4 linked regions of the Rhinolophus ferrumequinum genome follow. The protein of the gene in region 3 interacts with the protein of the main gene of each other region in a pairwise test. Links are inferred from orthologs where the notes say so. Each region holds a gene or a part of one and is shown on either strand. Other genes may lie near its edges. The genes, in order: THAP7, C10H22orf23, CCNDBP1 and PIMREG.

Evidence for each region.
Region 1: the proteins of CCNDBP1 (region 3) and THAP7 interact in binary tests that used the Homo sapiens proteins (3 or more experiments, as listed by UniProt). The two-hybrid records come from large-scale screens. The link is inferred for Rhinolophus ferrumequinum from reciprocal best matches to the Homo sapiens genes CCNDBP1 and THAP7.
Region 2: the proteins of CCNDBP1 (region 3) and C10H22orf23 interact in binary tests that used the Homo sapiens proteins (3 or more experiments, as listed by UniProt). The two-hybrid records come from large-scale screens. The link is inferred for Rhinolophus ferrumequinum from reciprocal best matches to the Homo sapiens genes CCNDBP1 and C22orf23.
Region 4: the proteins of CCNDBP1 (region 3) and PIMREG interact in binary tests that used the Homo sapiens proteins (3 or more experiments, as listed by UniProt). The two-hybrid records come from large-scale screens. The link is inferred for Rhinolophus ferrumequinum from reciprocal best matches to the Homo sapiens genes CCNDBP1 and PIMREG.

Annotation. Positions count from the first base shown.
Region 1 is NC_046308.1:23,399,082-23,406,579, forward strand, and holds the start of THAP7 (THAP domain-containing protein 7), read right to left. Parts: upstream 3,014-7,498; 5' UTR 2,855-3,013; intron 2,681-2,854; coding exon 2,601-2,680; intron 2,272-2,600; exon of another isoform or gene 2,236-2,271; coding exon of another isoform or gene 2,177-2,235; coding exon 2,021-2,176; intron 1,483-2,020; coding exon 1,342-1,482; intron 1,178-1,341; coding exon of another isoform or gene 1,167-1,177; coding exon 602-1,166; 3' UTR 1-601. Other genes in the region: tubulin alpha-3 chain, read right to left, coding at 3,892-4,188, 6,444-7,124, 7,433-7,498. UniProt on the Homo sapiens protein: Chromatin-associated, histone tail-binding protein that represses transcription via recruitment of HDAC3 and nuclear hormone receptor corepressors.
Region 2 is NC_046293.1:9,026,856-9,034,204, reverse strand, and holds the start of C10H22orf23 (UPF0193 protein EVG1), read right to left. Parts: upstream 3,010-7,349; 5' UTR 2,857-3,009; intron 2,484-2,856; 5' UTR 2,475-2,483; coding exon 2,372-2,474; intron 1,581-2,371; coding exon 1,518-1,580; intron 1-1,517. Other genes in the region: POLR2F (DNA-directed RNA polymerases I, II, and III subunit RPABC2), read left to right, coding at 3,201-3,220, 4,726-4,795.
Region 3 is NC_046289.1:62,568,194-62,575,226, reverse strand, and holds the start of CCNDBP1 (cyclin-D1-binding protein 1), read left to right. Parts: upstream 1-4,012; 5' UTR 4,013-4,118; coding exon 4,119-4,227; intron 4,228-4,394; coding exon 4,395-4,454; intron 4,455-4,729; coding exon 4,730-4,815; intron 4,816-7,033. Other genes in the region: TMEM62 (transmembrane protein 62), read left to right, coding at 364-482, 3,054-3,380. UniProt on the Homo sapiens protein: May negatively regulate cell cycle progression. May act at least in part via inhibition of the cyclin-D1/CDK4 complex, thereby preventing phosphorylation of RB1 and blocking E2F-dependent transcription.
Region 4 is NC_046304.1:13,749,341-13,756,431, reverse strand, and holds the start of PIMREG (protein PIMREG), read right to left. Parts: upstream 3,017-7,091; 5' UTR 2,978-3,016; intron 2,434-2,977; 5' UTR 2,399-2,433; coding exon 2,105-2,398; intron 472-2,104; coding exon 176-471; intron 1-175. UniProt on the Homo sapiens protein: During mitosis, may play a role in the control of metaphase-to-anaphase transition.

The sequences.
Region 1 (7,498 bases), on a different chromosome or scaffold from region 3:
GTTGGGCCCTCACTACTTGCCGAGCCAAGCAGCCCCAGGCAGTCAGAAATTGTCCTTGTCCTTGTTTTCAAATAAGACGGGCCCCGTGGTGGGTGGTGGGCCTGTAAGCCGGGACTCAGGCTGGGCAGACTGGGCCTATGAGGGAAGTCTGTTGTGTCCCCGCAAAGGAACTGAGTCTGGCCTGGGTTTTAGGAGTGTTTTCAAAGAGGATCAGCTTGCTGAAGTCAAGGCTGTTTCAGATGCCACGGCAAGGGGTGCCTAGTGCTGCCTGCAGCCTCTACTCACAATCCTGGTCCTCAGAGAACCCCATGGGGCACGGAGCTGGGCTTTCTGCTCTCCACAGCCAAGAGCTTAAACTCCAGGGTTTGAGCCCTCTGCAGTCTGCAGCCACTGTTTGGGGGAACAAGCCTGGGATCCAGGAGGGGCCCCAGCCCCCAGATGAATCATACAGGGCCTCCTTCAGGAATCCACTTTATTATGGCATCTGGTGGGTCTGACGGATGCAGCTTAGATCAGGTCCCTGTCCAGGTGGATTCTGAAGGAGGAAGAGGTTGGAGCCCTGACAGGCAGTTCCTCAACCCTGGGTCCAGTGGCCCCTCACTCAGGCCATGCTGCTGCTTAGCTGCATGGCAAAGTCCTGCACATGCTCCTTCAGAGTCTGGCGGGCATCTGCCTGTGCCCGCTTCTCACGTGCCCTTTCCTGCTGCAGCTTGGTCAGCCGCAGCCGCAGCCGCTGCTCCCGCCGCTTGCAGGCCTGCAGCTGGCGCTGGGCCTTGTCCAGGGCGTCGAGTGCGGCCTCCGCCCGCCGCTTCCAGAGCAGCGCACTGCCCACCTGGTAGCTGTGCTCATTCTGGATGTAGGCTCCAGCAGGTGGTGGGAGGCGCAGCATATAGGCTGAGGGTGAGACAGGCCGTGGTTCAAGAGGGGATGGCTGCCGCTCTGGCTCCCGCTCCGGTGAGGGCTGGGCACTGCAGCCTGCTTCATCCGCTTGGGCACCCAGAGGCCCCAGGAGGTCTGAGAAGGGGCTGCTGAGGCCAGGCTCCAGCCTCCCAGTGGGGGAGGCAGGCAAAGCAGCAGGTGCCGAGGCCTCTTCCACAGGAAAGCAGGAGACGTCAGCAGGTGGAGGTGGAGAAAAAGGAGTTGTGGGCCCTTGACTGTCAGAGCAGCTGTGGAGAGACTGACAGGTCAGGCTAAAAGCTTGCCAGACCATAATTCACCAGCCCCCTTGAACCCGCCCCACAGACTCAGGACCCTGTTCAGCATGGCTGCTGGTAGATACCCTAAAGCCCTGTCCCTCAGACTTGGGGTGGGAGTGGGGTACCCCCCACCCAGAGCACATACCGCTTCCTGCATCGCCGGAGCCGGCTGACGTCAGGGGAGCCAGGTGGGTAACTATGCCCCTTGGTCTTGGTTGTCCGGCGCAACTTGGAGAAAGACTCAAATATCGTGGGAACTGCCCCCTCCTTCAGCCTGTGATACCCACTGTGGGGGAAAGCAGCCTGGATGAGATGGAGAACAAGCGCCGCCACCCGCAGCTGACCTGCAGGGGCGCAGAGCCTGCATGCCCTCCAGCACCGCAGAGCAGGCTCCCCAGTGCTAGCCAGCACGGCGAGAGGTAGGAACGCATATTGAAAACAATTAGTTTGGGCAATGCCAAATTAGGCAGAGTTCCACCAATCTCTTCCCTGCAGAACTCCTCCAAGTTACGGTGCATGGAAAGGCGCCAACAGAACGGGGCTGACCAGCCAAAAAGAATGATTTCATTTGGGGATGTGGTGGGAGGATGGGGGTTCTAAGGCAAACCCTCTGGAAGAGCTCAATGTTTTTCTTTGTGTCACTGGCACAGTCATCCTGAAGGGGTGGGTCTTACTGTTCTCATCTGTCAGAAGGGGAAACTGAGGTACAGAGATGGGAAGAGGCAGTCACCCTTGAAACCAGGTCTGGCCTTGTGCCAGCTGCTATAGGGACCTCATCATCGGGCCCTACAGATGCCCCAGTGCTGGCTGGCAAGGAGGCTCACCTGATTCCCACCAGCTCAAAGCAGTTCTCCTCGAAGTGTTTGGAACAGAAGTAGATGTACTCAGATGCTGGGTCCCATAGGCCCTGGCCGCTGGGGTCCAGCCTCTGGCAGTTGGCCAGCCACAAGCCTCGCCTTGGGTTGTCCTTTTTGGGAAGTCTGTGGAGCCACAAACCCGTGAGTCCCAGGCTGCCTGCAGCCCTGGCATCATGCTGCATAAGCTCCACAGGTGGGAAGAGCTGGCCTTGCACATGCTGCAAGAGACCTCCCTTCAACTGTCAGGTAAGCACCGCCCATCCGGGCACAGACGAGGAAACTGAGGTCTCAAAAAGGGGAACAACGTGGTCAGCGTCATCTAGCAGGTTAAGAGTCGCAAAAAATAAGTCCCAAGGATGGTGGACCTCCCTTTCATCCTTTCCCGTCTGGACTCAGTCCCACCTGGACCGCCCCCTTCACTCTCTCCCACCCACAAGTTCAAGCCTCGCCCCCAACCAAAGAGCATGCGCAATGGTGACTTCATGAGGCGGGCAAAACAGGCGCATGCGCATGTGAATCTTCGCGTGCAAGACGCACGCGCGCTGACCTGTGGAAGGAGATGCCGCTGTTGCGCGTCTCGCGCGTATCCCGTGTGCAGCAGCCGGCGGCGGAGCAATGACGCGGCATCTGGGGAAGAGGCGGGAGCTTGGTCACGGGCGACTGTTCGGACTCAGAGGGGCCTCGCGCCCCCAGCCGCCGCTCCGATTCGGGCGGCCTTGGCCTGGCAGGTCTGCCCCCCGGCCCGATCTCGCCTGAGCCCCGACCCAACCCGTACTCCTGACTCCCCTCAGCGGCACTCACGGTCTTGCCATTGCTGAGCCGCCGTAGTCTCGCGAGATATAGCGAGCGGCGGAAGTTGCTACCATAGAGACTCGAAATCGCGGGCGCTCGACCGAGGGGCGGGGCGGGCCCCGGAAGTGGCGGAAGCGTGGCGTCGCCGCGGGACCCGTTTAGTCCTAGGGTCCCTGGACGCCTGCGCCGTGGCAACGTTGGCCCCTCTGTCCTTTCGGGTCTAACTTTTGACCGTCAACGCCCGGGCACCCAATGAGCGGCTCCACTCGGCAGCACAGGGCCCGGGGTACGGGTCTGCGCGACGCGGCGGCGGTAAAACGACAATGCCTCGGTACCCGCGCAAGCCGCCCAGGGAGGCCCCGATTGCAAGAAACGTACTCCAACAGCAAGAAAGAGACCGGGACGCGTGATCAAAAGAACCTAAAAAATACCAGTGCTCACGACTAATTTCAGGAGAGGTGCCTGTAATGAGAAGAGTGGGCGGTGGCCATTGATTACGTTTTGGGAAAATGTGATGGGCAGGGAAGTTTCTGTGTAGCGACTTCCGTTAGGGACGCTGACAGGGAAAACTAAGGGGCTTTCCTGGAATCGGAGGTCAGGAAATAGATTTGTGCTGGGCAGGGCGGCCTCCCTGGCCCCTCCCAAGACAGGGTGAAAACAGCCACTCCACTGCTTAGAAGAAAACCAGGTTACTATTCCATCCTTCAAAGAACATCAGGCATGAAGGATTTAAGAATGTTTACATTTAAAATAATCGAAGCATCTTTCTTCCTAATTCCCTGAGCCGTGCCTTTTGAAGCCTTTCTGGGAGAAATACAGTAACTAAACATAAAGACAATAATTTTTTCGGTCTGAGAGGAAACATGTTTTTCCCCTAGAAAATCCACTTGGAAAAAGGCAGGTATTTGAATGGGGAATTTTGTCAAAGTGAAGCACAAGGGACAGACAATACCTCAATACAGAAACTTTAATAGTTTGTATACATGTCTTGTAACGTTACAGTGGGGGATGGGAAACAGGGATGGTTGCCAGCTGTACTCTCCCATTCAGTATTCTTCCCCTTCTTCAGCCTCTGCTTCCACAGAATCCACACCAACCTCTTCATAATCTTTCTCCAGAGCTGCCAGGTCTTCCCGGGCTTCAGAGAACTCCCCTTCCTCCATGCCCTCCCCCACGTACCAGTGCACAAAGGCTCGCTTTGCGTACATGAGATCGAACTTATGGTCGAGGCGGGCCCAGGCCTCGGCGATGGCAGTGGTGTTGCTCAGCATGCACACGGCCCGCTGCACCTTGGCCAGGTCTCCCCCAGGGACGACAGTGGGGGGCTGGTAGTTGATGCCCACCTGCCAGAGGAGGGAATAGAGTGAAGTTTATATTGTGGCCTCAGAAATGGTAGCTTGTTTTTCAAAACTGGAGCTGTGGACACAGTTTAAATGACACCCTATAGAAACTGGTCCAGTATTTTCTGGCAATATCAACATTTAATATCCTTTGACTGTACACTTTCACTTTTTGGATTTACCCACACAAGAGCACAAAGCTGCATGTGTAAAGATTTTTATGTACTATTTAGTTTAAAGCACTGCTTGTAATGGCAAAACTGGAACAAATGTCCATCATGGGGAACTAAATATACGCCCATACAGTGAAACACTATGTACGAGCATAAAAAAGAGTGAAAAATCTGTCCTGGTATATCAACATGTCCAAGGTATAAGGTATACTTGGTAAAAAGAATAGCAAGTTGAATTCTATGTATTTATGCTTAGCAATGTGTATAGAGTAACAGGCTACTGCCTTGGACAGCGAGGGGAACATCGTGCTGGAGGAAGACAAATGCCTGGGAGTGTGAGGCAGGCACCGATCTCTGTCCTGTGAGCAGATAGCAGGCAGCAGCAGCCAGACACACAGCCAGTCTCCAGAAGAGTTGGGAGGGGCACGGAGGATACGGGGCTCTGACCCCGATCAAGGGGTGCCCTTCCGCAGCTCTAATGCCAGGCCAGACAGCCTCTCAAAGTGGGAGTGCTGCCAGCTTCCTGTTCTCTTTGGCCACCTGTGTGCAGTGAGTCAAATCTATCACCTACGTGTAAAGATTGTGCGTCCTTTGCCCATGTTGCTGGTCTCTTTCTGTCAACATCACCCACATAACGAGGCATCATATACCTCGAATATGCACAGAGTATCTCTTGAAAGACAAACCTCTGGGGAAGGGGAAGAGAATTTAGTGTTTTTCAGCCTTCTGCATTGTTTTAATATTTTGCCATGTATATGCATTTTTATAAAAAAACTAAAAATTATTAAACATAAAAGATTCCTTGAAAAGAGTGTATCCCTGAGCAAATGGTTGTTAAAGAATATATGGTGAAATTACACTAAGACTGACAAAAAAAAACAACCCAAAAAACTAGCATGAGAATTCAACATGGTTATCTGAGGCTGGACTGTCTTCTTTGGGGACAGTCAGTACAAGCTTTGACTTCCTGTGCCTCCCCACACAGACCAGCCTCCCCACTGGGTGACAGGAGGCAGAGACTCAGCTATGATAGGAAATCTGGGCACAGGGCACAGCACTTCCCAGCTGAGGCTTTCTTGGATGTGCTTACCTTCCAGAGGTCACAGTGACTAAAGAAAATTTCCTCCATGCAAGTCAAGAACGTGGTAATTACACACATGGAGTGGAAGGTTTCAGCTCCTACCTCTAACCTCTAAGGTCTGCAAGATTTAATGAATATTTCCAGATTGATGAAACCTGTTGTTTTACCCTTTTCTGTGAGTCACTTTAAATCTGTCAGTTTTATGTCCTCAGAGATGATCTGCGTCATGGTTTCTTAGAGTGGGTCTGACAGAGGGCTAGATAGCTTCAACAACTTGTGTGTGGTCAGAGGCAAGCTACTGCCATTCCAAATGGGAACAAGATGACACATATTTCTACTACTTGTCATATTCAATCTGGCATGACCCTGGAACTTGTAACTCCACAAACACCTTAGGACTCCTCAGGGCTTACAAATATGAGGTCTACAGCTTTGTCTAACACAGGAAACCAACTGTGAACGAGGACTTGTAACAAAGAAGAGGGCACAAAATTAACGAACGCAGGCATGATGAAGCACTTAGCCTGATAATCACAACAGGTCTAACGCCTGACATTCTGTTATTTGGCTTCCAAGTACATGTTGGAATCCATTTACAGTAACGCGCCAATTTCAAATGTCCACATGAATTACCAAAATGCCCAGAAAATTTCTACATTTCTATTAGAAGACTAAATTTCTATTTTAGGAAAATTCATAGTATAAGAAAAAAGTATCTTATTTCTAAGGCCAACCTACATTTTCTGAGTAATACTACCACTCCAAAAGGGGGCCAAAGATCCTTCGGAAACTTTCCTATTCTGTTAAAAAAAATTCTCCCACCACAGATAAATAATGTGATGACTCAGGAAGGAATTCAAGACACCACTGAATAAATTATCACTCTGGTACACTCATTTATGACCAAGAGCCTAGCTGCCATGTATTCTCCACAAGGACAGCATCCTGTCGCAGGGTCTGCTACATGCTGAACGATAAAACCACTCGACAGCACCCAGTCCTACCTTAAATCCCGTCGGGCACCAGTCCACAAACTGGATGGTGCGCTTGGTCTTGATGGTGGCAATTGCCGCGTTGACGTCTTTCGGGACCACATCTCCCCTGTACAACATGCAGCAGGCCATGTACTTGCCGTGGCGAGGGTCACACTTGACCATCTGATTGGCCGGCTCGAAGCAGGCATTGGTGATCTCGGCCACGGACAGCTGCTCGTGGTAGGCCTTCTCGGCCGAGATGACGGGCGCGTAAGTGGCCAGGGGGAAGTGGATGCGGGGGTATGGGACCAGGTTGGTCTGGAACTCCGTCAGGTCCACGTTCAGGGCCCCATCGAAGCGCAGGGAGGCCGTGATGGAGGACACGATCTGCCCAATCAGACGATTGAGGTTGGTGTACGTGGGACGCTCGATGTCCAGGTTGCGCCGACATATGTCATAGATGGCTTCGTTGTCCACCATGAAGGCACAGTCGGAATGTTCCAGGGTCGTGTGGGTGGTCAGGATGGAGTTGTAGGGCTCCACCACGGCCGTGGATACCTGGGGGGCTGGGTAGATGGCAAATTCGAGCTTGGACTTCTTGCCGTAGTCCACTGAGAGCCGCTCCATGAGCAGAGACGCAAACCCAGAGCCGGTGCCGCCCCCGAAGCTGTGGAAGATGAGGAAGCCCTGCAGCCCCGTGCACAGATCCGCCTGAGAGAAAGCAGAGACCATGAGCAACGCCAGCAGAAGCGACCCCACCAAGCCGCTGTCACTTTTCTTTGCCTCCACAGGAGGATACGAATTCAAATCGTCCCCAGTGAACATGCACTGCACTTTGAGGGGAGGCAAAGCAGACACTAGAGATGTATGCGTATGGATGCATGGAGCCCCACGGGACAGGAAGACCATGGAGTCGTCATTCTGGCCTGGGTTTTGCCAACATGACCTCCTGGTCCCACTCCAAGGCCTCCCTCCCATTCCAGGCTAATGCCGTCAGGAAGCCTTCCCAGTGCTCTTACCAGTTTGCGGATGCGGTCCAGGACCAGGTCGACGATCTCCTTGCCGATGGTATAATGGCCTCTGGC
Region 2 (7,349 bases), on a different chromosome or scaffold from region 3:
GGCCCGTTTTCAGCAAATATTTATGGCCCGAGTAATTCTGGGAGTTCCGGTGAAGGAGAGGAATTTATGGCTTGCAACAGAATTTGAACGAAGGCTCAAAACAACAGTAGGATTTGGGTAAGAGAAGTAAAGAGAAGATTCTAGAAGAAAGCAGACTCAACACCAATGCTTGGAGGCAATTTAAAAAAATAAAACTTCTAAGGGGAATAACACTGCCAGGTGAACCAATTACTCATGTTGGCCTAACCACTAATGCAGTCAGTCCTTCAATAAACATTGAGCAGCTTAAAAAAAAAAAAAAAAAAAATTTTGAGCAGCTAAGTGCTGGGGCTACCGTGGTGAACAAGACAGATGGAGTCCTTGGTCTGCTAGTTTTACTTTTAGTGAAATTTCTAGCATAATCTCTTTGTGGTCATGCTACAGGGGACACCAGTTTATTAGTAGATTGCTGAGCGTGGAGACTGAGTTGTGATTCAGATATGTCACGGCACTAGGCAGCCTGAGTTGTACTTTTCCACAATAAGGAAGGACATCTGACTTCTGACCTGGCCGGATGGAGCCTCCCTCCCTCAGCCAGTGCTGAACAGGTGCCAATGTCTGACTCTCTCTTCCCTATGCTTCTGTCATTGATCAAATGCCCTCCTGATAAGCACATTCTTTCTTCAAAGACGGCAACAGCTTTCAGTAGATTCAAGTAAAACTCGGCAGGGTTGGACCTTCTGGTATTCTCTCTCTTAAAGGCAACTTTACAGGTCTGTGTTCTGCTCCATTAAATATTGATTGATTCAGTTACATCTCAGAAAGCAAAGTTGCTTTCAAGATCTTAGAGGGCCCCTGGCTATTGTGCCCACGTACTTCCACTTTTTTGTTTTCCTCAAAAATAAGTAATGTAGGGGTGGCCGGTTAGCTCAGTTGGTTAAAGTGTGATGCTAATAACACCAAGGTTGCCGGTTCGATCCCAGCATAGGCCACTGTGAGCTGTGTCCTCCTTAAAAAACAAAAAAGAAAAAAAAAAAGAAAAGAAGAAAAAAAATGTAATGTGTGGTCAGAGGTGAGCTATGGAAAGGCTCTGCATAATCTTCCTAAGTTGGAATTCTGCCAGTTTTCTTGTTTCTGCTAGCTAAGCTATGAATGAATAAAACGACAAATGAGACACATCCACAGTCCTTTCCTCTGGAGAGCTCCTATGGTATGTGTGTAACAGGGAGGGATAGATTGCAGACAGGACAGTTTTGAGACTATTTTGGCTGGACAGGAAGTCTCGCCTGGGCTGTGATCTCTTGGGAAAGGCAGCTAGAGCAGAACTGCAGGAGACTGGTTGTGGTGCCAGGACCCGTGTCTGGGGGAAGAAACAAAGGCCGCCTCAAGGTCAATCCCCCAGATGCAAGGGTCGGAAATACTACACTCTACTATTTTGGTCTTTTAAAATGATGTCCTCTACCTCTTAATATGGAGGAGCTTGAAAAACGTGGCCCAGAATCCCTCTGCCCAGGAAGCCTCTGTGGACTGCCTCTTACTTTTCATGGTGTCCATGATGTGGCGCTGTTGGAATTTAGTCAGTCTGGATTCCTCCATCATTACTGCAAGATAAAGCACTTTTGTAAAGCCTGCTGAGCCTTCATCTCACCCACTGAAATTTAAAATTGTATCACCTCCTACCCCCGTCCTGCACCTGAATACTCCCTCTCTTCCTCTTCTGTCTTATTTTTTTCTGTAGCACTCATCACCATCTAAGTTCTACACATTTTACTTATTATTACTTGTCACCCTCCTGCTAGGATATCAGCTCCATGAGAGCCAGAAGTTTTGCTGGTTTGTTTTTGTTTTTGTTTTTAATGCTGTATCCATAGCATCTAGAACAATGTCTAAAGCCCATAGTGGGCTTTTAAAATTTTTTTTGTTGTGTGAGTGAATAAATGAATGAATGACCAAGCATTAACCATGTGCCAGGGGCTGAAGCTGTAATGGTGAGCCAAAAAAGGAACAATCCCAGCCCTATTGGATTTCACTGGCTAGAGGGGTAGGTGGATACTGATCCAATGGGACATACTAAATATTTGACTACAGGTTGCGCTAATTCCAATGAAGAAAAAGGTATTTGGTCACATCGCAGTTGGTTCCACTGTGGTGGTGGGTCCTGGTGGGGGGAGATAAAGCTTCCCAGGGGAAACTGAAAGTGTGATCTAAGGGATGTACAATTGTTAACTACTCTAAAATTCTTGGTTCTTTGACTTTTGGCCACTTGCAAGTTGTAGGACCTGAATCTTTCTGTAAAATGAAAATAGCAATTGCTGAGCCACAGGTCAAAAGGGGAGACCCGAGTTACGGAGGGTAACTGCTACCACCCCTCTTTTCCTTTAAGCGCACTGACCTCTCAGGAGCTCACAGGTCCCAGGGGTATAAGTGGCCTGCTTGGGGCAGCTCCAGAACCCCGTTCCTTTGGTCACTGCCTCCATCTTCTCCTGGGAAGCCATGGCAGGGCCCTAAGGAGGGAAAACACACAATGACATACCCCCTGTCTCTACTCCTGCACCCCGCCCTTCCAACACCACCGAAGTCTGGGAGCGAGGTCCGGCTGCAGGAGAATCGTGTTGCCGCGTGTCACTATTGCGAGTGCCCTCCTCTCCCACCCGAAACAGACAGACCGACACACACACACACACACACACACACACACACACACACGAACGGAGACCTCATCTTGACCTGCTGCTTGTGGCAGGGAAGGCCTTTGGGGAGGAAGAGGGCCTTTAGATAGCTGTTGGAATTTAGTCAGGTTGGATTCTTTCATCATCACTGCAAGATAAAACCCTGCTATGAAGCCTCTAGGATGTTACCCCAAAATTGAAACCTCACCCTAAAGTAAGACGCCGGCTGGGTGCACCCCTCCTCACAGAGAGCGGTGGCTGGGCTCCGGAGCCCAAAAGCACGGCTCTACCGCGGCATCGCGCGGGGACCCGGCAGAAACACTGAGATCGCTGTGTCTAGAGCCGGCAGCGGGACGCTCTGGCTACCATGGTAACGAGCATGCATCTCGTCGCATGCGCACATTTACTCAGTCCTGCCTACCGGAAGTGATTGCTTCTGGTTCACGGCGCAGGCGCAGAGGACGCGTGTCGCGGGGCTGGTGGGAGGCACGCTGTTCGCGGATCTCCGTGCGGGTCTGGGGCGCAGAGCCGAGTCGCGGCTGCGTCGGCGTCATGTCAGACAATGAGGACAAGTGAGTGCGGGAGCCAAGTGGCCTTTGCGGAGCCTCGGAAGGGGTGGGTGAAGCGGGAGTTTGAGTCCAAGGAGGCTGACGAGCCAGGCGTGGAGGGACCGTATCCGAGGGGACTGGGGCTGCTGAAGGGGCCCGCGGAGCCGGAGAAGGGAAGGGCGCGGAACCAAGAGCGTAGCCAGGGACTGGACACAAAAGGCACAGGCTCGAGGGGGCAGAGAGGATCAGTGGAAAAGGTGTCTTTCAGAAAACTTCCACTGCGCCAGGTTCCGGGTCCTGTATTGGGAATATTGCGCTGTGTTAGACGTAGCCCTTCCTCTCCAGGTGCTCCCTTCTAGAAGAGGGGACAGATAACGTAGGATCGTGTGAGATGAGGCAGTAAAAGTACGTAGTACAGCGGGTCCTCGAATACCGTTTTCTAACGTTGATGAGATGCGGTAGGATCCCACCTGTTGCTATCAGTTAGTCGATGGTAAAATTGGTTGCGTCGTGCATCGTTTTGCTTAAAGTCGCAGAACCTATCGTGGGCATTGAATGAGGACTTACTGTGTAGAAGTACTCCAGAGGAGTGGTGCGACAGGTGGGAAAGGTCTGGGCAGGTTGCAGTCGTCTGGCGAGAGAAGGTAGTGTGTTAGTAGTAGAGGTAGTGAGAAGTGGTTTTGAATTCTGAGTTCATTTTGAAGCTGGCGCCAAAAAGATTTCCCGATGTGTGGGGTGGGAGCAGAGGTCTGTTCTGAAGATTAAAATAGGGGAGTGGTCCGCATAAGTATATTAGTCAAAACTGAGAAACAGGTGACATCATCAGGGGGTGTCAGTAGAGAAGGGGAGGTGACTGAGCGTTAGAGCGTTCCAACAGGGACTCCTTGGGGTTGGAGAAGAAGAGACACGAGCAAAGGACACTGAGAAGGAGCAGCCAGTGAGGTGGGGGAAATACCAAGAGAGGGAGGTGTCCTTGCAGTCGAGTGAGGAGGGTGTACTGAGCGAGAGTGGGCTAACGTGCCACTGAAAAGTCAAGCTAAACGAGAACAAGAAGAGTCCATTGGTTGGCAACATGGAAATCATTCACAGACTTGAAAGAAGGAGTGGTTTTGATGGAGCCGTGGAGATGGAGGTCTTCTTGGAGTGAAATTGTGACAGAACGGAAAGAGAAGAATTGGAAACAGTGATGATGGACAACTCTTCCATGATTTTTGTTCCCAAGCAGAGCATGGAAATAAGGCTCTGGGGGGAGAGAGGTTTTGTTTTTTTTTTAAGATGGGGAAAATGTTTGTGCTGATGAGAATGATGCAGCGTAGAGAGAGAAAAGAGACAGTGATGAAGAATGTGTCCTAGCCAATTTTGGGGGTTGATGGGGGTGAATTCGAAGGAGTAAAATGGAACAGAAGTTTGATTCACTCATTAAGTAGATGTTTGTGGAGCACCTCCTAACTGTTGGCTGAGACACTCTCTGCCCTTTTGGATTCCAGTAAGTGGTGCTCTGACTAATTGGCCTCTTTCTTCTTGTCCAGTTTTGACGGCGATGACTTTGATGACGTGGAAGAGGATGAAGGGCTAGATGACTTGGAGAACGCCGAGGAGGTCAGTGTGTAGTCTCAGTCTCCCTCCTGCAGCCCAGGCTGTCAAACAGGCTGCCCAGTGATCATTGCCTGAATGCATCTGCCTCCTGTTTGTGACCAAAGGCCCTGCCCCAGCCACCCCCCATTAGAGTGGGCAGAGTTCCAGTCCTGGGTAGCGCAACAGCCCCAGAGGGTGGGCCTGCAGGCTTTTGTCCACTTGGACCACAGTCCGTGGTTTCTGAGGCAGTTAGTTCACTGATGGGTGAGATGTCACATTTATTCATTCAGCGACTGTGTGTTGATTGTTTATTATGTGCCAGGTGCTCTGCAGCGTGGGGCTGCATAGGAGCAAGGGGGAGAGTGACCTTGAATAAAGCTGGCGAGGTAAGGGCCCAGATCAGGCAAGATTTTGTAGACTGTAGGTTGAAGGAAGCCACTGACAAGTTTTGAACCAGGGAGTGGCATGATGTAAAGTTGACACTTTAGAAAGAGCATGCTGACCTCAGGAGCGAAGCAGGGAGGAGCAAGTATGAGAGAGAGACATTAATTAGGGGACTGTCACAGACCGCCAGGTGGGAGACCTGCAGCTTGAACTTGTGCATTGCTAGGGCCATTGATAAGGAAACAGATGGAAGAGATATTTTGATGGATTGGATTTGGGGCTGAGAAAGTGGGAGATGACAAACATGACCGCTAGGTTTCTGGATTCAGCAACTAGATGGGTGGGTTACTAGCTTCATGAATAAAATAGGGCTTTCTGTCTTGGGTGACTGATGGAAGAAGAAGTGCTTTATGTCTCCTGGAGAGTGATCCCTCGACTTTTTTAGTCCCGTTTGGCTTAGAAGCCAAAGCCCCTCTTTTTGAATTTTCTCTCTTCAGGACACTCTCGAGTACCCGTATTCACTGTGTCAGAAACCTCTTTCTCCATCCTTCCGGTCTCCTTCCATTCCTGTCCCGTCAATTCTGGCTCCTTCATTTAGTTCAGCCCTGTTCCATTTCTTCATTCCTAGTGCACCAGCCTGGTTTAGATCTTTATTCCTTTACAACCACATTACTGCAGAAATTGTGTTCCTGGTTTTCCTGCCTTCCGTCTGCTCTGATTGTCTTTCTGCTGCCAGAGTCATCTCTCTTACCTGCCTGCATGATACCCTCGGTCTTCCTAAATGGTCTCTCTGCTTCTGCCGTTGCCCTCTACAAAATATTCTCAACAGAGTATCCAGAGTGATCCTTTCAAATCTTAAGTTAACTGATGTCTCCGATTTAGAACCCTCATCTGGTGGCTTCCCATCTCATTCAAAGGAATTGCCAAAAAGACGTACAAAGTTCTCCATGATCTGGCCACCTGCTCCCTCTGTGATCTTATCTCTTCTTGCTGTCCTTGGCCTGCCAGGCACACCTCTGCTCAAGACTTCTGATCATGCTGTTTCCTCTTCCAGGAACACTTTTCCCCGAGAAGCGCACATGACCTGCTCCTCACTCCCCTCAGGGCTTTGTCCAACTGTCATATCAAGGAGGCCTTCTGTGACCATCTTATTCATATTTAAAATGGCAGCTTTCTCCCCCTCCTCCCGCACTACCTCCTTGGCACTCCCTGTCTTGTTTCTCTATTGTTATACACATTTTACTTATTTTATTTATTGTTTATCTCTTCTCACTATAGTATAAGCTCTGTAGGGGAAGAATTTTATCTTACTGCTCTATGCCAAGCACTTGGAACACTACTTGACATACAGTAAGCACTCAATAAATATTTGTTGACTTAATTTTTTTTTTTAAATTGCGGAATATATTGGGGAACATTGTGTTTCTCCAGGGCCCATCAGCTCCAAGTCGTTGTCCCTCAATCTAGCCGTGGAGGGCGCAGCTCAGCTTCAAGTCCAGTTCCCATTTTCAATCTTTAGTTGCAGAGGGCACAGCCCACCATCCCATGTGGGGATTGAACCGGCAACCTTGTTGTTGAGAGCTCGTGGTCCAACCAACTGAGCCACCCCACCGTCCTGTTGACTTAATTCTTTATTGTAATATTTATTCTCCTGCCTGTGACCCTATATGCACCTTTGCTCTGTTCATACTCCATAATTAGTTGTCCAAACCTAGTACATTACCTCCTCTGTGCCTTTGCACATTCAATTCAGCCTGCCTGGAATGCCCTTCCCTTCCTCATGGGCTTGGGAACTCCTACTAATCCTAGACAAGCTCAAGTCTCATCTTTGGACTGTCTTCCTAACCCACCGTGTGAGTTAGATGCCCCCCACCTTGTTAAGTTTGTTGCACACTTGCATTCCTTCAAAGCACCTGCTGTTCTGTTTATTCTTGTCTCCTGCCCAGACCATGAATTCTTTCTTTGAGAGCAAAAGCTCTTAGCTTTGTCTCAGCATCTATTATGATGTTTGGCACATGACAGATGCCTGATAAGTAATTGTTAAATATATGAACACACACACACACACACACACACACGGTACCAAAAAAAATGTATACACATTTTAAGAAAGGAAAACTATTAAAATTGTAATACGCAACATATACTGATAACAAAAGATGAATACAAGTCACGTTTGACTTCTGCAATTACA
Region 3 (7,033 bases):
AAGGAAATGTTAATGCCTTGTATTGAAGTTATTATTGCAACAGAATCTCTTAATCTTTATGAATGTACTCCAGTATGTTTTTGGAATCTACAAGCTACATATCTATTCCAGGTATAGCATGTACTCAGATAATTTTATAATCAGAGAAATATGGAGCAGAGGAGCAAATAGCTGGTTAGCTAGGACACTGGGTGCAACATAGAGGTTAGCAAAGAAGAAAAGCTATGCAAATAAAATGCTTACAGATGAATGGTCTCATATTTCTTTGTTATTCCTGTAAATGCATCTTGTGATGTATGTAATAGTTATATTACAGAGTCATAGTTATTTAAGCTTCTTATTTCTTCTCCATTGCCTCTTTAGGACCATGGTTTATTGGTGAAATTACTAAGGGCAAAATAGGTTGCTGCTTTTCCTTTGGGATCTTTGTTGATGGCCATTTCCTACAAGGCAGTGTAACATTTATGGTTGGAATTCTCCAGGTAAGAAGTCAGAAATGCAATTTAAGAACACCTTAGCTTTATTGGACTAATTGTATAACACATACGCATTAAATCCCAAATCCCAAATTGAACACCATAAATCATGTTTCCTAAATTACTGGCAGGGAAGACTTTAATAGCTGGTGTTTTGTTTGCCTTTTGAGTGCTTCCTAAGCTCTTTCTTCCACTGTTGTCGTTTAAACATCTAAAATATATTTTTGGCAGGCAGGGTTTAGGAGAGGTGAAAGTGATTTTGGTTTTTGTTGTTTGTTTCACTGAGCTTTTCATTGACAAAAAAATGAAATAAGGGACTCATGATAGAATAAATGATAGACTTCTGATTATGATAATGAAGAAGGAAAATAGTTCAGAGGGAGGAAAGGAAAAATAGACATACACAAAAAGTGGGTTAGCTATCCAGTGAGAGCTGCCCTGGGCAAAACCAGACCTGGGCTTTCTAGTAATGTCTTATTAGTACACTTCTTTGAGAAACACTGATATATTGGTTTACATTTGGATTGAGATGCCTTTAAAACAAACAAACACACAAAATCCTGACCTGTAGCAAATCTCTAAACAGTTTGAAAGGTATTTACTTTTTTATTTTATTTTATTTACCTATTTATTTTACTCACCTAGTAGGACCAATGGACCAAAATCTGGAGGTGATGATCTGAAGTTTTAGAAGAGGTCCAAAAACATTATTCAAAATGAGTTCACAGCCTCATAACAGGACAGTAAAACATGATCAGCAGAATTAGAGATAAACAAATAGAGAAGACCTCTGCAATCACTGACCATAGGCCACAACATTCTCTGTATAGCAGTATTTCATATGTACATATGTCCTGGATCCAGTTCAATTTTCTATTATGTAAATGGAGGTTGTCTCTCAGGAGCAATCTTACACTAAGTAAAACCTGAGTCTTACCAAAGGGTGGGTTTATATTCATATTTGAATAAGTAGTACACTGGTAATGGATTTTATGTATCATCTAGGCCAGGGGAGTCCAAACTTTTTTCAACGTTTTTCACCAAGGGCCATATGCGGTAAAATACACAAACAGCCGGGCCACTCACTCAAGGTGAAGTACGTATTGCCTCACCTGGTTTATTTAAGTAAACTAAATATATTTTTGGAATTTGCTGCGGGCCAATTAACAATGGATTGCGGGCTGCAGTTTGCCCACGGGCCGCAGTTTTGACACCCCTGATCTAGGCCCATGACTCCTAAATCTATATCTCTGATCTGGACCTTTTCTCTGCACTTCAGGTGCCTATATCTCCACCTACCATTTCACATCTTCCTTTAGATATCTAATAGGCATCTCAGCTTAATAGTATATCTCTTATAGGACCTTTAATTTCTACCCACAAAACTGTTCCTAGTTTTTGCAATTTTAATAAATGGCTCCCCAGTTCACCCAGTTTCTTCAGGATGTATCCTCAGTTCTTCTCCTTCCTTTGTACCCTGTATCTAGTTCATCAACAAGTAATACCTTGTTTGCTCTACCTCCAATACATATCTTGAATCCACCGCTTCTCTCAATCCCGGTTGCTACCACCATAGTCTAAATCATAATTATTTCTTTTCTGGGTTACTGCATGACCCCCCTAACTGGTCTTCCTACTGCTGTTTTTGCCTCCCTACTGTCAGTTTGCCACAGAGCATCCACTGTGGTCCTTTCAAAACTTTAATCAGCTCACTTCTCAGCTTAAAACCCTTTAAACAGAGCAGTGATATGATCTTGGTCCTGCTGACTGTCCCAATTTCCACTTGGCTCATCATGTTCCAGGCCCATTGGCCTTAAATAGGCCAAGACCTCTCCCACCTCTGGGATTTCACTTGATTCTTCTGTCTGGAATGCAGTTCTTTCCACTGACTCAGGCCTGTCCTTCGGGCTTCAGAGAGCCCATTTCCCAGTTGCCTTCTCATGACCCAGTTATTTCCTTCATCGAATTTCTCATAGTCTGTAATTATCTTTCCTGTTCGTTTGTTTATTTGTTTATTTATTTATTTGGTTTTGCTTCTCTCTGTTAGACTGTAAACACTATGATGCATCTTTTCTGACTTGTTCACCAGTATGTCCCAAGCCTAGAGTATAGCAGTGCCTGCCACCTAATGGGTGATGAATGAATGACACAGCAGTTAAACTTGGATTATAACTTAAATCTTCTAATCTGTATTCCAGTACTCATCATGCTACTTCAAAGAAAAATACAAAGAAAAAGAAATATTGATACCCATGACCCTCTCACTCTGCCAAAAAAAAAAAAAAAGAGTATGTGTATGTGTATACACATCAATTCATTTCCACCTTAAACATTATCAAGGGCACCTGCCTTTACGAGGAAGAAAAGGATACAGGCAGCTATATAACTAACTACAAGTCAACTGTTTTTAGTGTTATAACCAAATGTGATCAAAGCATAACGAATCAGAATCAGAGGTAACCCTCAAAACAGAAAGCAACATATTCTTAGGAGCCACCAATAATGTATTAGACCCTACCCTGACCCCTTGGAGGACTTGCTGGTAAGCTAGTGGTTCTGTTCTGCTCTTCTTTCCAGTTGGCGTTTTTTAACATCCCTTTGATGGCTTACCTGTGTTGGAGCTTGCTGCAGCGGTGCTTTGGTCACAACTTCAGGTCTCATCTCCATCAAGGAAAACGCTTGAAAATTATACCTGTTCACCTTCTTATGTTACTGCTGTACATCTGGCAGATTTATTCCTGCTACTTTCTTCATATGACATTTGGAACTCTAGCGTTTTTCTTCTCCCCTTTAAGGACCTGGTTGACATTGCTGACACCTATTCTCATTCATTGTGTGTGGACACGGAACTCCGACAAGCTTGGAACCTTCACAGTGCAGTTAAAAAGCCACTTGAGCTCCTGAAAGCCACGTCTCACCATCCACCTCTGTAGGCCTCTGCCCCAGCAGCAGGTGGAAAGCCAGTATTGGTGGGCACGCTTCGGGGAGCTGCTGCTCCTTGGACGCCTGGGAGTTGGGGAAATTACCCACTATTCATTCCTGCAGAATGGAGTGCAGAAAAGTCTCTAAATAATGCCATGATTCCTTCCTTCCTCAAGAAAGCAAAGGATTGATTTACTTTTGTGAAGAGAAAGCCTGCATCTAGATCTACAGGAGGGCCTGGATGTGTATGGGCGCATGTGCAGCCCAGTGTTTTTAGGTTTACCTCATGTAAAGTACCTAGCACAGTACCTAGCTGTCAAGGGTGCCACTTTAGGGAAAGGGAACCAGTGTGAACTTGAGCCTGACCCTGACTACCCTTGAGCTATTATTATAGCTCCCAGTCCCTTTTTTCTGCTTCCTTAGTCGGGGGTGTTTTCAACCAATCAAATAAATGAATGATAAATAAGAAATAACGCGGACTGGTCCTTGCGTGTGCGGCCGGGCCTTGGGCCTGAGGGAGGAGGTCGGGGGCGGGGAGTGGGTGTCAGGCGTGACCCGGCCTCTGGGGAGGGAGGGGGCGTGGCTGGGCCGCTGGGGCGGGGCGGGTTGTTGCCGGAAACTAACCCAGGTCTGTGACGCCCGGAAGTGGAGCAACTACCGCTGTGCCTCTGGCCGCTGCTGTGGCGTCTTTTGTCTGCAGGCCCCAGGCGATCTGCTGAGATGGCGGGCGCAGGTGCACCTGCAGCCGCGATCTCCACCCTGACTCCGCCTTTGGAGCAGCTCCGGCTTTTAGCCGGGGAGCTGCGGTTGCTCTTGCCCGGAGTGCGGGGTGAGCGGATGCTGTTGGGCCGGGCGACCGCAGGGGCAGCCTTGGGTCGGGAAGCGGGCAAGCTGTGGAGCGGGGACCCGGGCGGAGGAGGTGGGGGGCCGGAGGTGTCTCCGCTAACCTCTACTTTTCTTTTGCCACCTGGCGGCCCACACGCCACGCACACCCAGTCGGCGAAGCCCGGGAGACCACCAAGGAGTTCAATCGGAAGACGTTTTGGAGGAGACTCAGTGAGTGCCTCTCCTGTCTTCTCCCAGCGTCCCAACCCCTCCCTCCCCCGCTGTCCCCCCCCCCCCCCGCTGCATCCTCTCTGCGGGGATACCTCACCATATACCCTCAGAGGTTGAAATATAAAACATTGATTTTTGGAGGTGTTTTCTCTACGTCTAAGGGTGTAGAGAGAACGCGTTATCTTTAAAGTCCGTGCAGCAGCTGCAGCCTTATCCTTTTGGCACTAACATATTGCCTCCTGCTTCCTGCTTTGTCACACCCCCTCCCCCTCCAGATGAGGCAGCTGTGAAAGTGTCAAGGGAAGCCACGACTATGACCGAAGTCTTCTCTAGACTTCCACTGCCACTGCCGTCCTCACAGGTGGGCTTTACTTTCCTGGAATCCTTGCGCTGCCTTGTTATTCTTCAGGAATCCTTCCATTTTCTTTCCACCTTTTACACTCAAACCAGGGGATTTATTATCATCTGTCATAAATAAGACTGCAGTTCTCATCCCACAGGATTGTTGTGAAGACTACATTGCCAAGTGCAGTACTTGGCATGGAGTAGGCAGGTCATCTAAATTGTATTGGTTCATTTTGAAGTGCATCCTGGTTATTTCCTTTCTGATAATTTTTTTTACGCACTTGCAGTTTGTTTTCAGCTATATGATCCCCATCTGACAGATGAGTAAGCGGGCTCACAGGCTCAGGTTAAGGTAATAAGCAGTGGGATTAGATTTTAAATTAGGATCTATCTGCTGTCGGAGCTGCACCTTTTTTGTTATATTGCATAATACCCTTTTTACCCTTTTGAATTATTCTTTATATTTAACCAGTAACAATTATACAGTATGAAATTCAAAAGATATCAAAGTGTGCTAAAAAGTTTGTCTTCCTTCCTCAGTTCCTTTGATTATTCATATCTATTCTAAGCATATGCACATTTATGTGTGTATGCCTGCTGCTTTTCACACAAATGATAGGATACCATAAACACTTTTCTGAACCTTCTTTTTGAAACAAATTAGCAATATAGCTTGCAAATTGTTTCTCAGCAGCACATATAAAGTTCATTTCTTTGTAATGGCTGCATGGTATTCAGTAGAGTACATGTGCCTGTTATTTATTTAACCAGTACTCTATGTGGATATTTAAGCTGTTTCCAACTTTTAGCTATTATAAACAATACTGTGATAAACTGCCTAATACAATATTTGAGTATGTGTGTAAAAAAAAAATCCAGGGAGTGGAATTGCTAGAACAAAGAATTTATACATTTTTAATAACCCTTTATTATAAAACGAATGAAAATAAACGTTGACTTGTGATCAGGTATGCCCTATGCCCAGTTTTTCTAGAGCGAGGTATACTTAATTTGGGATAAGTTTATTTAAAAATGGCATACTCATTGCCTTATTTGATTTTCATAGTCAATAGTTTCATTCTCTTTTTCAGTCCATACATCCAGATGTTTTGAAATGGAAAAATATCTTTGCTGCACCTACAATGATAAACTCTCTCCCCCTACATAACTCAGAGATCTGTGATGAGGGAACAAGAGATGAATGGTATAAGAGCACTTTAAAAGCTTTGCAGGGCCAGCCCGGTGGCTCAGGCGGTTAGAGCTCTGTGCTCCTAACTCCAAAGGCTGTCGGTTCCATTCCCACATGGGCCAGTGGGCTCTCAACCACAAGGTTGCCAGTTCAATTCCTCGAGTCCCACAAGGGATGGTGGGCAGCGCCCCCTGCAACTCAGATTGAACAGTTCACGGCACCTTGAGCTGAGCTGCCGCTGAGCTCCCAGATGGCTCAGTTGGTTGGAACGCGTCCTCTCAACCACAAGGTTGTTGGTTCGACTCCCGCAAGGGATGGTGGGCTGTGCCCCCTGCAACTAGCAATGGCAACTGGACCTGGAGCTGAGCTGCGCCCTCCACAACTAAGACTGAAAGGTCAACAACTTGACTTAGAAAAAAGTCCTGGAAGTACACACTGTTCCCCAATAAAATCCTGTTCCCCTTCCCCAATAAAATCTTTAAAAAAAAAAAAAAAAAAGCTTTGCAGAAGAAAGTATTTTTTTCAAAGGGAGTAGTAATATTACCTTATTTTTCTTATCTGCCAACTCTTTTCTTTCAGATACACTTAGGACTTGCTCCTAAAATTTACAGTTAGTAAAATACCATGAGGAGGCAGTATAGGACTATTTTTCCATACATGTTCAGGTCAGTGGTTTCACTCAGATGAAAACTTAGAATTTGCTTTTTATTTGAATTATATATATTTGAATCTCAATTGCTTTCTTAGAATCTCAGCATGTTAGTCTTAATGATGAATGGTTTTGTTTGTTTTAATTCCAGTTCCACATGGACTGGTATTTTTATAAAATTATGTGTGTGGTTGAAGCAATGTCAGATTACCATAAAAGTTTCTAAACACTCTCAATCACTGTACTTATTCATCCCAGACTGGTAACAAACGCTTTATGGACTGGCACCAATCTCTAGACCACATTTTACATAGAACTAGCTTAGAATTGAGTAGCAAAGTGAGGAAAAGGAAGAAAAGAGAATGCCAGTGACTGCTCAGTCAACATTGAGCATTG
Region 4 (7,091 bases), on a different chromosome or scaffold from region 3:
GGAAACTAAGGCTCCAAAGGACTTTCCCAGATCCCCAACTCGTGGGGGACAGAGCTGGGTCAGCATACAGACGTGATTAAGCTTAGGGTGCCCCTGGCTCTAGGGAGCCCCAGGAGGGGCTCAGAAGCCTCTGGGGCCCATTAGTATTTTGGAGGCAAGGCTCTCTTCCACTTGCCTGGGGGAGCAGAGGGGCTCTGCAGAGGAGTAGGGGCTCTGGAAGGCGGCCTCCCTCCTGGACCGCCGAAGTGGGTGGGCCCGTGAGCCCCTCTGAGTGGAGTGGTGGTGACGTTCCCTCTCCCAGGGGCCCAGGGTTGAGCGGGCAGGGGCAGTTCCAGACAGGCGGGTGCTCCTCTGGTTCAGACTACGAGCTGGCACGCTACTGCCCTTCTGTGCCTCTCTCTTCCTCCTTCTGGCTTTCACCTGGGTCTCTACCAGCCACTTGGTGCCACTTTGGCAGGATTCCTGGATTCGCTGAGATAAGTACATGGAAAAAAGAGCACAGATAAGCCAAGGGTGAGCCACCCCAATCTCCAAGCCATACCTCTGACCCCTCCACTTTTCAGCCTGTCCTACACGCACAGGTAGCTGTTAGTCTCAAGGGTGAGGGATGTAGGTGATACTCTATGACATGGGTCCACTGTAGGGACCCCGCTCAGAGCTCCCAGACATGAGTGCAGTGGTCAGCAGAAGAACCACTGGCTTATAGAACCTCTATTTGCCTAAGTCCAAACCCTTTCAGATCACAGATTGACCCAGGGACTCAAGGGCAAAGCCTACCCCCCAAGACACAGTGAGATAACCTATTTCCCTGCCTCTGGTCTCACTCCCTCTAATCCATCCTCCACTGGTGCACAGAGATCCTTCTCAAGAGCAGTTCTGATCAATACCCTTCTATTGCTCCTCGTTACTCACAGGATCAAGACCTAATTCTTGTGTCTTTCACACCAGCTGGGGGATGAACGTGAAGGCTCTTCCTCAGCTAGACTGTCTTTGCCTTGGCAAACCAGAGTCCAGAGCTTAGAGCCAGCTCGAGTTACATTTGGTGAGTTATGTGACCTTGGGCAGGCTACCTTGTTTCATGTCTGATCCCTGGGAATAACACAGTCCTAGGGCTCTTCCAGACAAGGATTAACATTTGGTTCAGAGACCTCTCTGTAAAGCGTTCAGAAACAGCTTTTCCCATCTCACATCTTCAGAGTCCCAATCAGACACCAAGGGGAACCTCCTCCCACCCCCAGTTCTCTCCTCGGAGGTCTATTCACTCTCCTGGCCTCTGTCCTTTCTAGGGGAGACTCCGCACATCTCCAACTCCAGGTTAGAAAACACATCGATCTGGAAGGCCCGCAGGCATCTCACACCCAACATACGTGACATCTTCCTGCCCACACATCTCATCTGTCCCCAAACCCTCTCAAATCTACCGTCCAAGTAACTCTTGAAGTTGTTCCCTCCTCTGCAAGGCCAGACCCCCAGGGAGAATGTTACTAATCCCTTTTCCTTCAAGTAGCTAAAGAACAAGTTCTAATATGCCAATCGAACCTGATTCCCACTGTTGTAAATTCTTCCCACTGGCTCTTGGGACCATCTAAACACCTTCAGCACACGGGACCCGTCTTTTACTGCCTCACCTTGCTCTCTGTCCTCATGCCACACCCAGACTAAGCTCTCTCCATCCCTCTTTAGCATCCTGCTGCCCCTCAGCTCCGGGTCTGGACTCACACTACTTCACCTGCCGTATACACTCCTCATTCCTCCCCTTTCCTGTGTGAATTCCGTGGATTCACCTCCTCTGGAAAGCTTCACCAACTAAACTTGTTTCTGGTTTCCCCCCACCGTTAGCCGCTTGCTTGCAACTTCCCATCACAATACAGCTCTACCATCTTATGTTGTGAGGATGTTTCTTCCATGACACTGTTTTCATTCACTCACTTAACTATGTGTTGAGCACCTACTAAGTGCCAGGAACTACTTGGGGTGCTGGGAACACAACAATGAGCAAATTGAAGGCATTGTCTTCGTGGAGTCAATATTCTTGGGGGCTCCTTGGGGCAGCAGTTGTCTGGCACCAAGGAAGCTCGCCATACCTGGACGTGGTCAGCATTACCTGGGACATGGCACCAAAGGCATTTTTAGCTGAGTGAGCTGCAGCCTGGAGGCCCTGCTGCCCTGGCTCTGGGGTTTTCAGGCGTTTCCAGGAGGGGCCTGCCCCCAGGTTGAGGCTGACTGCTCTCAGGGGCAGCCTCCGTTGGAACTCTCTGCAGAGGGAGCCCAGGGTCCCGCTGGAGGTCTCCAGATGGCCAACAGCAGGCTGCAGCACCTCGCTCTCCTCCAGCTGCTCCCGGTCCTGGAGAGATCTCCTGCGCATGGAGACCCGCACAGCTGGCCATCGAGAGGCCATCTGCCTGGCCAAGAGTCTGTTCCGCTCACCAGCCCCTGGGGATGGCAAAAGGCAGGTCAGCAAGGCATCCGGCATCCCATTCCCAGGCTCCACAGAGACCCTGGGTATGAGGGAAGGGATGGGATGGAGGCTCATGCCGTGGGGTGGAGGCACTTGGCAACGGTGGCTGTGGAGAGGAGGGAGTTTCCTGAAAGGGAGGTCAGCGAGGCCCAGAAGAGGGCAGAGGCTGAACAAGGCCAGTCAGCATTTCCTGGCTGCAAGTGTCTAAAACAGCTGTCTTTTCACCTCAGCCTCCTCTCCGCTGTCGCCTGAAGCAGGGAGGGAGGGAGGGTCAGGAGCGGCCCTCGTCAAGCCTCAGCATTGGGCCCCGGGCTCGACGACCTGTGGCTCTTTGACAAATTCGCCCTGAGTCAACGCGCTCCTGCCCAGACCCCGACCGGCTGACAAGACCCCCCGATTTCCACTTTGCAATACCCAGACACCCCACCAGCGTGCCCGTCCTAACTAGACCTCCACGCTTCCCCAGGGGCCCACGTCCCTTCAGAACAGAAGCCCCACAACGCCCCGGCCCGCACTCACCCAACAGCCCCCACGTAGAACAGAAGCCGAGCACATATGCTCCTAGCCCATCCCAGCTGATTTGAAACTCCGCGCGGATCCGCCCCCGGCCCAGTTTTCACATCTGATTGGTTAGTTCCCCGCGTCGCTGTCGCATCGGGGATCTTATTGGCCTTCTGCTCTAGCGGCTTTGTGAATTCTGCTCTCGGATTGGCCCGGCCGTCCCCATTCATCCCTCAGGACCCCCGCGGGGCTAGGCGCCCAGCCAAGCTGCCCCTTTGTATCTGCAGGTCCAGCCCGCGCCACAGCGGGAATCCGCCACTGCCGGCCAGCCAGGCCCCCCTGCTCCACCTCCGGGACGCTCAGCCCCAGGCCGCCGGGCCCCCTCTTCGAACTACAAAGGATTCAGGCTGGTCTGATTGGGCGGGGCGCAGGCGGCCTTTCAGGCTCAGAGGGCTCCCTCCCATACTGCCAGGAGGTCTCAGTGGTTTTGTCACAAAGAACTCAGGGCCTGGGTTCCCGGGGATGTTTTGTTTCAAACTTCCCACTTGGCCCGCTACCGTGTGTGTTTACCCTCGCTCTGCCCCAGAGAAAACCCAACCGGGAAGAGGGAAGGTAGCTAGTACATCGCCTGCTCTCCTCCAATTAAGCTCCCCTTCCCCCACTCCAACTGACCCTCCCCTCTCTTCTGATGAATGTCTCCCTCCCTTTAGCATCCAAACAATCTGAAAAATATGCCATACAGAAAGCTCCCCCCATTTCCCCCACCTTTAGCAGCACTGGCCAGTGCGGCCCCTCGGTTTCTTGCTGCCATCCTCATCTGGTCTCCTCCCCCCTTACTACCCCCACAACTCCCCACCTCTCTGGTCATTCTTTTGCTGATGGGCTCCTTGAAGCTCTGTCCTTAGCCTCTTCTCCATCTCTGGCTGATCTCACCCACTTCTGTGGCCTCAGTTACCGCTCCCCTGCTCTCCCCTCCCTGGGATGGTGAGACCAAAGAGCATGTATGGAGTCCTTACTATGCACCAGCTACCTGTGTTCCAAGCACTTTATATTATGAGCTCATTTGACCCTCATGGCAGCCTGCCACTAAATGAGGAGACCAAGGCATAGACAAACAGTTAGGTTGGGCCCCGATTTCCCTCAGTTAGTAAGTCACAGAGCCAAGGATTCAAAGTCTGCCAGTCTGGGACCAGACTCCACGTGCCATCCCACCGCACAACACTGCTTCTCCTCCTTCTCCCATGCAGGTGTATCCACTCACCTCCTGGATACCCAACTCCTCCTGGGCACTGCAGGCACTTTTCACCAACACGCCTCAGAGGGCATCCCCTTGGTCTCGCCCAGCCCTTCTCCTCCTTCCCCATGTCCCCTCTCTCATGTTTTTCCAAATACCTAATGGTGTTTGATATTAGGTTAGTGCAAAAGTAATTGTGGTTTAAACGGTTAAAAGGAATTGCAAAAACCGCAATTACTTTTGCACCAACATAATAGATTAAGCATTATGCTAAAAATGGACCACAAAGCATTCCTTACCCTCATGGAGCTCAAATCTAGTGTGTGGGAAGAGATGGACATGAATGAGTCAAATAATCAATAAGTAATTACCCAATCAGAGAAAATTATGACACAAAAATTATTATCTAGGTCTGAGACCTAGAGAATGAGTTAACCAAGCAAAGAATGTGTGTGTCTGAGTGTGTATGTTTGTGTTTGAGTGTGCGTGTGTGTGTGTGTGGTGCTGTGTGTGGGGTTCTTGCACAGGGGATACCAAGGGGACTAGTACCCAGGTAAGACACCCAGCACACACACATATATACACCCGAAACAAACGTTTCCTGAAACAGTGCTTGACTATGTGTGATGGTCCTTTGAGATTTTATTATTTTATTATTTTTTTAGTGCCGGTGACAGCTCGTTACATTTATTTTACAATGGCTCACTGCTCTAGTTCGCCTGCTCACTCACCTTGTTCCCTAATAGAGTTGTTTCCCAAGTGTCAGGCGTGTTTGTTCCCAAGCCTGTTTATGCTGGCAGTATTCCTTATTGTAATTAATTCATGTCCTTTACCAGTGAAATACGAGGAGGGAAAGCAAGAGTATTTTTAGAAAAATGAAATTGAAAGTGTGGGAAAGACTCCGTGAAGGTGAAACACTTAGAAAGTCTTTCAAGTTGGGTTGTCTTGTCACCGTTGTCTGTCAGAACCTGTCAGAATGCCCGGTATGCCGTGGGCATCGATACAGCAGCTTATATTTGTCCAGCCCTCACCACATGTGTGCTAAGTGCATTTCTTTACTCTGCCTTAATCCTCACAGCAACTCCATGAAGTAGAGTAGTTTTATTCCCATTACAAATGACAAAACAGATTCAGATGGGCGAAGTGTCTTGCCTAGGCTGGAACAGAATCAGAGCTGGAACTTGAACCCTGGGTGTCTGACTGTAATATGCGAATTCTTAAACTTTGATTAAATGGCCTCATCAAGCATCGGGGAACAAATGAGTGAATGTAGGAAGAGGCTCTCCCGGCTTGGGGCATTCTTACCCCTTCTCTTACAACTGTAACTGGCAGACCAGGTGAGGGAAGAACAGTCTCCATGGCAACGAGAGAAGGAAGAAACATTTTTTTCTGAATGAGAAGGCTCTCCCTCTGCCTTTCAGGGAGTGGTGTAGTGAGGGGGTGGGAAGGAGGGTGTGCTGAAGCAAGCAGATTACTAGTTGAGGGGTTGGGGTGGGTGCAGGGGCTCCAGCTCCTCCTGGTAAGGGGGAAAGCCAGTCCGTTGTTCCAAGCTGAGGCTTTCTGGGGTCCAGCTCCAGCCCTGCCCTGCTCTGAGGGAACTCTGTCCAACAGCAAAGCTTCCACCAGTTTCCTTGGCCTCATGAAACTGTCAGTCTGAGGGAAGCAGCAGACATTAAACTGCAAAAATGCCAGGAATGCCAAGTGCTCGGGGGCAACCATGGTGTGTAAGGGGATGGGGAACTCCCCTGGAGGTGGAGGTCAGGGCAGGCTGCCCTTACTTAGCATATGGTGTTTTAGCTGAGGAGTTAGTGGGACAAAGTGAGGGGACGAGGTTGTCTGATAGAGGGATCTGCAAAGCCCAGTGCTGGGCGGCCAGAACATGCCAGGTTCCAGGACCAGAGAAGGAGACATAGAGGGCAGGGTCTGGGATGGCAAGAACCAGGAGCTGCAGGGCTCCTTGGCAGGAAAGGAGCTTAGAATTTATCCTGAGGGCAGTGGGAACCCTTGGCTGAATTTGAAGAGGGGAGTGGAGTTATTAGAGTTACATTTTAATGAAGTCGGTTAGGAGGTTAGTTTGGGGGCCAAGTGGTGGCTGGGGTCCATCTGGAAGCTGTGGCTGGAGCACTTCGTTGTTCTCAGCAGTGAAATCGAAACCACTGGCATCAGCTTCAACATCCCCTGCCCGTCATGCCCCCCAACTCCCACCCTGGCAACCACAGGCCCAGTCTATCAGCTCTACCTCCTCTTGATAACTGCAATCGCTGTGCGTCCTTTGACCCTTTTATAAAGGGAAGCAATTTAAACAATAGGAGAGATTTAAGTGTGAGACATGATTATATCTTTTTCTTCCATTGTGAATTATATCACAGAGAAAAATGCCTAAATCAGGAAGCTTAGTATAATGAATACTTAGAAAGCAAACATCCATGTGAAGAAACCATCACGCAGTGAAGAAACAGAATGTTGCCAGGACCCCAGAAGAAGCCACCCCACCCCTGCTGAGTGTCCTCCCTCCCTCCCTGGACTTTATGGTAATCACTTTTATTTTCTTTGTAGTTTTACCATCTAAGCATCCATCTTTCCTCCTGTGTACCATGTTTCCCCAAAAATAAGACCTACGCTGAAAATAAGCCCCAGTTAAGATTGTCAGCCAGACGGACTCATTTAGTACGTTGTGACGATGTTCCAGAAGAAGATGACGTGACTGTATTTGAATAAATATAGATTGTTGTACATGAAAAAATAAGACATCCCCTGAAAATTAGGCCTAATGGAGCAAAAATTAATATAAGACCCAGTGGGGACAGAGCCAGGAGTGCAGTTTCCAGGCTCTTGCCCTCACGTGGAAAGGTGCTCCCTCGGGTAGTAAATGGCCATCAACTGTGATTGGATGGCCAT